Schizosaccharomyces pombe: one gene and its partner. Changing the gene in region 1 together with any one later gene gives a genetic interaction. Each region holds a gene or a part of one and is shown on either strand. Other genes may lie near its edges.

Region 1 (4,169 bases):
CATCGAAACTTCTCAAAAGGTTGAACTAAAAAACATTTGAGATTCACATGTAAAGAGCTAACTACCATGTTGAATAAGCCTCGATTTTGGTTATCTAGATCACTTGATAATTTATTTCGCTAATTATTTTATATATAATGAGTACCGCTTCAAAGTTTTTAAGTAAACAAACACTAGATTAGATAATTTCATTAATTTAAAAAATTAACTTAAAATATTGTTAGTTGACTTTACTAGTTTTATAATGCATTAAGTTCACAAATTTACTTTTCTTACTTTGGAAAAACCTACGGGTCTAACAAAAATATTTGTAAATAATAGCAATAAGGTAACTATAGTGAATTAAACAAATGATCAAGGAAATAATTTAAATAGATTTAAAAAAAATATAGCTGTTTAACGAAAAGAATCTACTGATAACCTTCTTTCCACTTTCATTACTCAGAAACCAAATTCGAACAACTATTTTAAGCGTTGTTCTGCGTCACTGAAGAATACCGAGAATGTAGGAATTGTATTATTTGCATATAGTGACAATCATCGAAAAATTGTGAACAGTAATAGTTAAATGAAATTCTCAAAAAACGACTGTGCAACCTAAACTTGGTATTCATTTAACTAAATAACAATGTACATAGTGGGTTTGATATTTCTTGAATTTTTAAATATTGGGAAATGATGGGTTTAATTATTGCAATTAATAGGGAAAAGCGTGTGATTTAAATTGAATGTACTTCAATGTCAGTATATAAATTGCTTCGATAGCCGAAAGGAAAAGCTACCGATAAAAGTTTTGGGGATCATCATTAACATTTTTTTGTAAACAAATTCCTAGTGATCGGGTTTTAGAAAAAAAAAATTATTAAAATACAAAATAAAAATGGTCAATTAATAACTTTCATTAATTTATTACTCTACCATTTCTACATGCTGATTTAGTCATTAAATATGCATATAGAAAAGTTGAAAAACGTTTTGAAGAAAGTCAACTGCACAAAAAAATTCTATAGAGTAAGAAAAATGAAAAAAAAAAGACCAAAGAAAAAAATGACATCCAGCAATTATGGCATTTGTTTTAATAATTTCCAAGAGCTGCATAACCAGATAGATAGTATAAATAAAATTATGAGAGACCATGTACTGGAAATAACAATTCAGTAAACCGATTTACAATTCAGTAAAGTGATTTGGAGTTACAATTGAAATTAACTGAAATTAGATTGCCCCAAATAGATTCTAGAGGTAACCCCGATTGTGAAACCGATGAGCTTCTTAATGTTTAGAAAATGGACCTTAAATTACATGCAAATAGGAAATCTCTGTTTTATTTTCAATCTCAAAATCTAAGCAAGCTTGAACCTTGAGAAGACATATTCAGGTTGTATTTTTTTATTTTTTTTTTCGAAGGAACAGCAGACAGTTAATTGTAATTAGGCGAACCCATAGAGTTAAGGAAAATAATTATTATAAATATTGCAATCCAAGCTTAAATCGACTTTTACCTTTTAATAAAATGGGCGTTTTGGCTTATCCATATACACTCCCACAAATTATGACACTTTTTAGCGACTAAAATAAAGGAATATTTAGTAATTGAGTACTGCAGTCTAATTAAATAACTATTATAGAACTTTTGAAGCATTTTCGGGAGTTCCTTGCTAATTAAAAAATGAGAAACTGAAACTAGCTTTTCATCTTGTAAGATCATTAGAAAAAGGATTTAACATATTTAAATCATAATAATAATGAATATTGTTCTTATAGCGTTTACATATATGGCTTTGTTAATTACAGTCCATTTTTCTTGGTGGGAAGGCATCAAAAAAATCCCCCTGGCCCTGTAAACTACACCTACCACTTGCCAACTTCTACTTCGACCGCAAAAAGCGTACAAAACGCCAAAAACGAGTTGATTTCGTGGAATTAAAAGTAAATTACCTTTTGAAGAATTTAAAAGATTCGGGTAGTACTAGTGTCCAAGAACACCTACGAGCAAGTCGAAAGAAAAGTTTTTTTGTTCTGAAAATTTCTACATTCGGTTCCACTTTTTGAACAAAAAAAGAAAGGAATTTTTTAAATAACTAAATTTTACCAAAATTTACTATAATTTGCTTGTAAAAATGGCGGAAAATCTTGATATTTCAGAATTGTCACCGATTCACCCAGCTATTATATCTAGACAGGCAACGATCAATATTGGTACAATTGGTCACGTAGCCCACGGAAAGAGTACAGTGGTCAAAGCTATTTCCGGTGTGCACACGGTTCGTTTCAAAAATGAGTTGGAGCGTAATATCACAATCAAGCTGGGTTATGCTAACGCTAAGATTTACAAATGTTCCAATGAAGAGTGTCCCAGACCCGGATGTTACCGTTCCTACTCTTCCAACAAGGAAGATCACCCTCCTTGCGAAATTTGTAATTCTCCGATGAACTTGGTTCGCCATGTATCGTTTGTCGATTGCCCGGGTCACGATATTCTTATGGCTACTATGCTGAACGGTGCCGCTGTCATGGACGCCGCCTTATTGCTGATTGCTGGTAATGAGTCCTGTCCTCAACCTCAAACTAGTGAACACTTGGCTGCCATCGAAATTATGCAGTTAAAGCACATAATCATCCTTCAGAACAAAGTGGATTTGATTCGCGAATCAGCTGCTGAGGAACACTATCAATCTATTTTGAAGTTTATTAAGGGTACCGTTGCTGAGAACTCTCCTATAGTCCCTATTTCTGCCCAACTTAAATATAACATCGATGCCATTCTCGAATATATTGTTAAGAAAATTCCCATTCCTGTCCGTGACTTTACCACTGCTCCCCGTTTAATTGTAATTCGTTCTTTTGATGTTAACAAGCCTGGTGCTGAAGTTGATGACCTTAAGGGTGGTGTTGCTGGTGGTTCTATTTTGACTGGCGTTCTTCGTTTAAATGATGAAATCGAAATTCGTCCTGGTATTGTTACAAAGGATGATGATGGCCGCATCAGATGCCAACCTATTTTCTCCCGTATTATCTCCCTATTCGCTGAACACAACGATTTGAAAATAGCCGTGCCTGGTGGTTTGATTGGTGTTGGTACAACAGTCGATCCTACTCTTTGCCGTGCCGATCGTCTAGTTGGTCAAGTTTTGGGTTCCAAGGGCAACCTTCCAGAAGTTTATACCGAGCTCGAAATTAACTACTTTTTGCTCCGTCGTCTTTTGGGTGTAAAGAGTGGTGATAAAAACACCACTAAAGTTCAAAAACTTGCCAAAAACGAAGTGTTGATGGTCAACATCGGTTCCACTTCCACTGGTGGCCGTGTTATGATGGTTAAAGCAGATATGGCAAAGATCCTTCTTACCGCCCCAGCATGTACCGAAATTGGTGAAAAGGTGGCTCTCAGCAGACGTATTGAAAAACACTGGCGGCTTATCGGTTGGGCTAAGGTGGTTGAGGGTAAGACTCTAAAAGTTTAGATTTTATCGTTGTAAACATTGTATAAGATGAATTCTCATTTTTTAACTTTTAAAAAATAAACAATGGTAATGTCTACGGTTAAACTTAACGATGTCTCGTACACGGTGTGTGATTTTAGTACAGTTGATGAATCATGTAGTTGATACACAGTGCTAATAGATGCGTATCTACATCCCTATTTTATACATTCGGATCTCTGTGCAGTATTTAATGTTTCCATTATTAATTAGTTAGACTATTTTCAACATTTACTCTACAGCGAATTTATACCTATTTAGTACACCTGATGGTACTAGTTCCTTATAGTAAAGCAATAAGTAAATAGAAGAGTCATAAATCTATATTTACTATTATTTGATTCTAATCAATTATGCTTATTTACTTGACTCTTTCGTTTTGTGGTATTTCATTCATAGTATGTATCTGTAAAATATGCTTTCACTTCCCAGACTTTTGGAAGCCTACAAAAAAAAATATGAAAATTTAAAGAAAGTGAACGATTCAATTCTTTGAATACAAAAATTCTATCAAATAAGCGATTTTGATCTTTTCCCAATTAGCAAACTCTAAGGCAACGACATTATTCAGAGCCCTAACCTAAACAAGTGACTGTTAATTTCGAATGCAAACAACACTAGGAGACGCAAAACGAGCTACCTACATCAAACACCATGGCAGAGAAGGCTCAAAACCCCATGAAGGAGCTT
Region 2 (3,975 bases), on another chromosome or scaffold:
GGTATTTTTAATCAAAAGTTTTCCCATTTGTTTGAACGTTTCTTTCTTTAGCGAAACTCCTGTATTGCATACTTTTGCTTTCAACGTTTTGCATATCTCTCTCATCTTCTTGATTATTTGATATAGACAACAAGAAATTTCTTGTATTTAGGCATAAAATTCAAAGAAATGTCAGGTGGACTTTCCCGAAGGAGGGTTGCTGCCGCAAGTTCGGACGAAGAACGTCCAGAGATGAGGAGCGTCTCTCATTCCAAAAGTCATCTTGAGGGATACGATGATGATCATAAAATCGCTTTTGATCCAAAGGATTTGGAACAAGGCGCGGAAAGGGAAAAGCAACCCAGGCTTACACTGATGGAGGAGGTATTGTTATTGGGTCTAAAAGACAAGCAAGGTTATCTTTCTTTTTGGAATGACAGCATTTCTTATTCTCTTCGGGGATGTATTCTAATGGAGCTCGCATTTCGTGGAAAGTTGCGTATGCAAAAAGACGTTAATCGTAAACGCTTTCCGTTAGCGGATCGTGTAGTGGAGTTGGTTGATGAAAAACTTACAGGTGAGGTTCTTTTAGACGAAGCTATTAAAATGATACATACTAGCGAACTCATGTCTGTAACCTCTTGGATTGATTTGATGAGTGGTGAAACGTGGAATGTGATGAAGATTGGATATCAATTAAGACAAGTACGCGAACGGTTGGCAAAGGGCCTTGTTGACAAAGGGATTTTAAGAAATGAGAAGAAGAATTTCTTACTTTTCGACATGCCAACTCATCCCATTGCCGATACCTCCATTAAAGATTCCATTAAAAAAAGAGTGGTCTCTGTTCTTACTTCACGAGTAATTGAAATTGATAATTCACCTTCTTTCCCAGAATATTTGTCTTTTCGTTGCCTTCGCACTGTTGCCCTTGCTTGTTCCTCATACGCTGCTAATGTTCTTGAAAACGCTCTTGACAATTTAAACTATGAAGATCGTGAAAAAGCATTTTCTCGCGTAGACGAGCTTCTCTGTGACTTTTCGCAATGGCCTTTTGATCTTCATGCTTCTTCGTCAGTTGGCGCTAACTTGCCTGAGCTAATTTCCGAAGAACTTTCCTCTGTGAAGGAAGAGCAACTACTTTTCATTGAGGTAGTCGCTGCTGTTCTTCAAGTTTTCACTCATTTAGATTCTTTACTTTGATAGCCAAGCATATCACTCGTTGGTGTTGTTTGAGTTATGTTATTTCCAACTCAGACTAATGAACAAACGTATACCGACTTCTATATCGCTAATGTCGGCTTAATTTGTTTGTTTTTAATTGGAGTATTATTTTAAAAGAAGTCAATTCAATCAAATTGTTCGTTGTTGTAAGAATAGTACTTTGAACAATCGGTGCTTCATTATCTAGTTGAATTTTCATTAAATTGGTGGTACCATTTCCACATATACTCTCTCCAGTTGAACACTTTATCTCGATATGGAGGCAATCCCATTTCGATATTGTCTGCTAAAAAAGATTTGTTCAGAATATCCCGGGTCAGCTTTCATTCTTTTCAGTTGCGGACATCGTTAGCTATTTTCTTCTCGTTTTAATGATTTACATACGTACATATAAGTCAGTCTTTCTTTTCACAAAGCTTTAGTTATTAAACTAACGAAAAATGACAATTGTGTAATTACTATACAGTTATCTTTTAAACCATTTTAAACTTGGGTTCTTCCACAAGCTTTACTTAAATGAACATATGATAAATTAATATAGCAGGTGTTTTCTTATGATCATTGCTATCAACTTTACTAAGACGAACATAAGCTGAAATACAGCGATTTTTAACCAAGTTCATATAAATCATCTATTCCTGCCATTAATGCCAACAACCCCATTAATTGTCTATTGCTGTAAGCGTAAAGTACTATGGAGACTGATCAGTCAAAATTAATCAGAAGCATTTAAATAATACACAATTTATAAGGGAATCTAAAGTACTCTTAAAACACCGGAAGGTGTAAGATTGACAAACAACGCTTGCTCACGTCTCGATAGCTCAGCTCAGGTATTGTATAAGGAAATATAAGGATGGTACTAAATATGTTTACGTAGTGCTATGTGCGCATTCAATTTATTACCGCGACGTATCGAGTGTCAAAGAACTACAGATAGTACTAGTACTTTTGCCATTCGCTTACAAAAAGCGCATATCCACATAAAACTAGCATTTTCAAATTCATCTGTAAAGTCAAATAATTCCAACCCAAAAGGACGGTTAAATTTTCCTTACTTTAATTTATTCTTTTTTTTTGAATTTGGTAAAGCAATTCTCGTACGTTCATTTCATTTTTTTTTCATAGTTTCCAACAATGTCTGAACGAAAGGTACTTAACAAGTATATCCCGCCCGATTATGATCCTTCCATTCGTCCTCCTAAGAAAAAGAAAAAGTTTCAAGGACCAAATGGTGGGAAATTGACTGTTCGTTTGATGACTCCATTTTCAATGCGCTGTCATACTTGTGGAGAGTATATATATAAAGGAAAAAAGTTTAACGCTAGGAAGGAGAAAACCGGCGAAAAATATTTTTCAATTGATATATTGAGGTTTTATATTCGCTGCACTAGGTGTGCTGCTGAAATAACATTTATAACCGATCCAAAACATGCAGATTATGCAGCAGAGAGTGGAGCTTCCAGGAATTATGAGCCGTGGCATGAAAAAAGATTACAAGAATATGAAGAAAATGAGTTAGCTGAACGCAATGACATTCCTGAGGAGGACGAAATGGAAAAATTAGAACAAAAAACATTAGACACTAAACGACAAATGCAAATTAGTGATGCACTCGACGAACTACGTGAAAAGAGCGCTCGAAGGTCTCGAGTTAACATTGATGATGCAATCGCTCTCTTAAAGGAAGATGCATATGGATCAATTGAAGAAGAGGAGTCCAAAAAGCGGAAATTTGAGGAAGAAGAAATTGATCGTGAAGCTAAATCGTTGTTTTCGTCTCAGGATGGTGAAATTATAAGAAGATTGAATGCAGAAACAACGGTTGAAAAAGAATTACCCAAACCTATAGATTTGGTTTCTGAGAAGCTGGCCACTTCCAATATACCGAATTTTCAGCCTCCAAAATATGCAAAAAGGAAAATGGAGAAGAAAAAGGTTTTGGTATAACGTCTATAAATGGCTAAATTTTTTAATTACTTGCATTTTTTATAGCTAAGCTATTAAAAATGTACATGTTCTTTTGTACCAGCGCAAGGTTTTTATTGTAATAATATTTAATGAGTTTTTGATGGATTTTCATAACGCGAGTTGATAGTCAATATCCTGTTCTAATTTTTATTATTCGATTAGTAAATGTAGTTTGTTATGTAGAATAATACCGTAGCATTTATAGAAAGGTTTTATTTTGTTTGTATCTATTCTTCAACTTTAAGTTTTTAACAGCACATGTTAATTGATTTTTTTTAAGGTTCCTTCTAATTTTCCGAGTATCTAATTGTAATTTATCAATTTACATTTACGGTTTGTCAAAAAGTAGTCTTAATCGTAGCTAAATTCAAGGCGGCTAACGTAAACAACGGTTTAGGAACTATGATAGGAACGTCTATTAATTTATTTTAAAAGAGTTTTTTCTTGCTTAATTAAAAACTACTTTTAGAAAAAAATATTAAAACTTATTCTCATCATGCCTGTGACAAAATATTGTTAGACTCATCTTACATAGTAACCAATATTTTGGAGAACACCAACTAAAAACGTATATCATAATAATTAACTCTTAAACAATAATTAAAAATTAAATTTTGGCAGTTTGAAGTACGAAAGATTTTTTAGTGTCTCAGATAGACACCTTGAATACCCTTTTTTTTCTATTTTTGTAAGATGCTTCGATCTTTACAATTTTACAGATTATCCAGCAAAAACTTGCTGTCATTTAAAACGTGCTATTCGTTTTACTCTACAAAAGCTTCCTCTCCTTTGCCGCAACCA

The links.
Region 2: of tif213 (region 1) and cwf16, changing one suppresses a phenotype caused by changing the other (phenotypic suppression), as found in Schizosaccharomyces pombe (one study listed by BioGRID).

The regions. Positions count from the first base shown.
Region 1 is NC_003423.3:2,185,592-2,189,760, forward strand, and holds tif213 (translation initiation factor eIF2 gamma subunit tif213), read left to right. Parts: upstream 1-1,853; 5' UTR 1,854-2,120; coding exon 2,121-3,461; 3' UTR 3,462-3,543; downstream 3,544-4,169. Other genes in the region: rpl1102 (60S ribosomal protein uL5), read left to right, coding at 4,134-4,169. UniProt on the Schizosaccharomyces pombe protein: As a subunit of eukaryotic initiation factor 2 eIF2, involved in the early steps of protein synthesis.
Region 2 is NC_003424.3:1,487,948-1,491,922, reverse strand, and holds cwf16 (splicing factor), read left to right. Parts: upstream 1-2,167; 5' UTR 2,168-2,340; coding exon 2,341-3,153; 3' UTR 3,154-3,313; downstream 3,314-3,975. Other genes in the region: gpp74 (golgi phosphoprotein 3), read left to right, coding at 169-1,182; F1-ATPase chaperone Atp12, read left to right, coding at 3,868-3,975.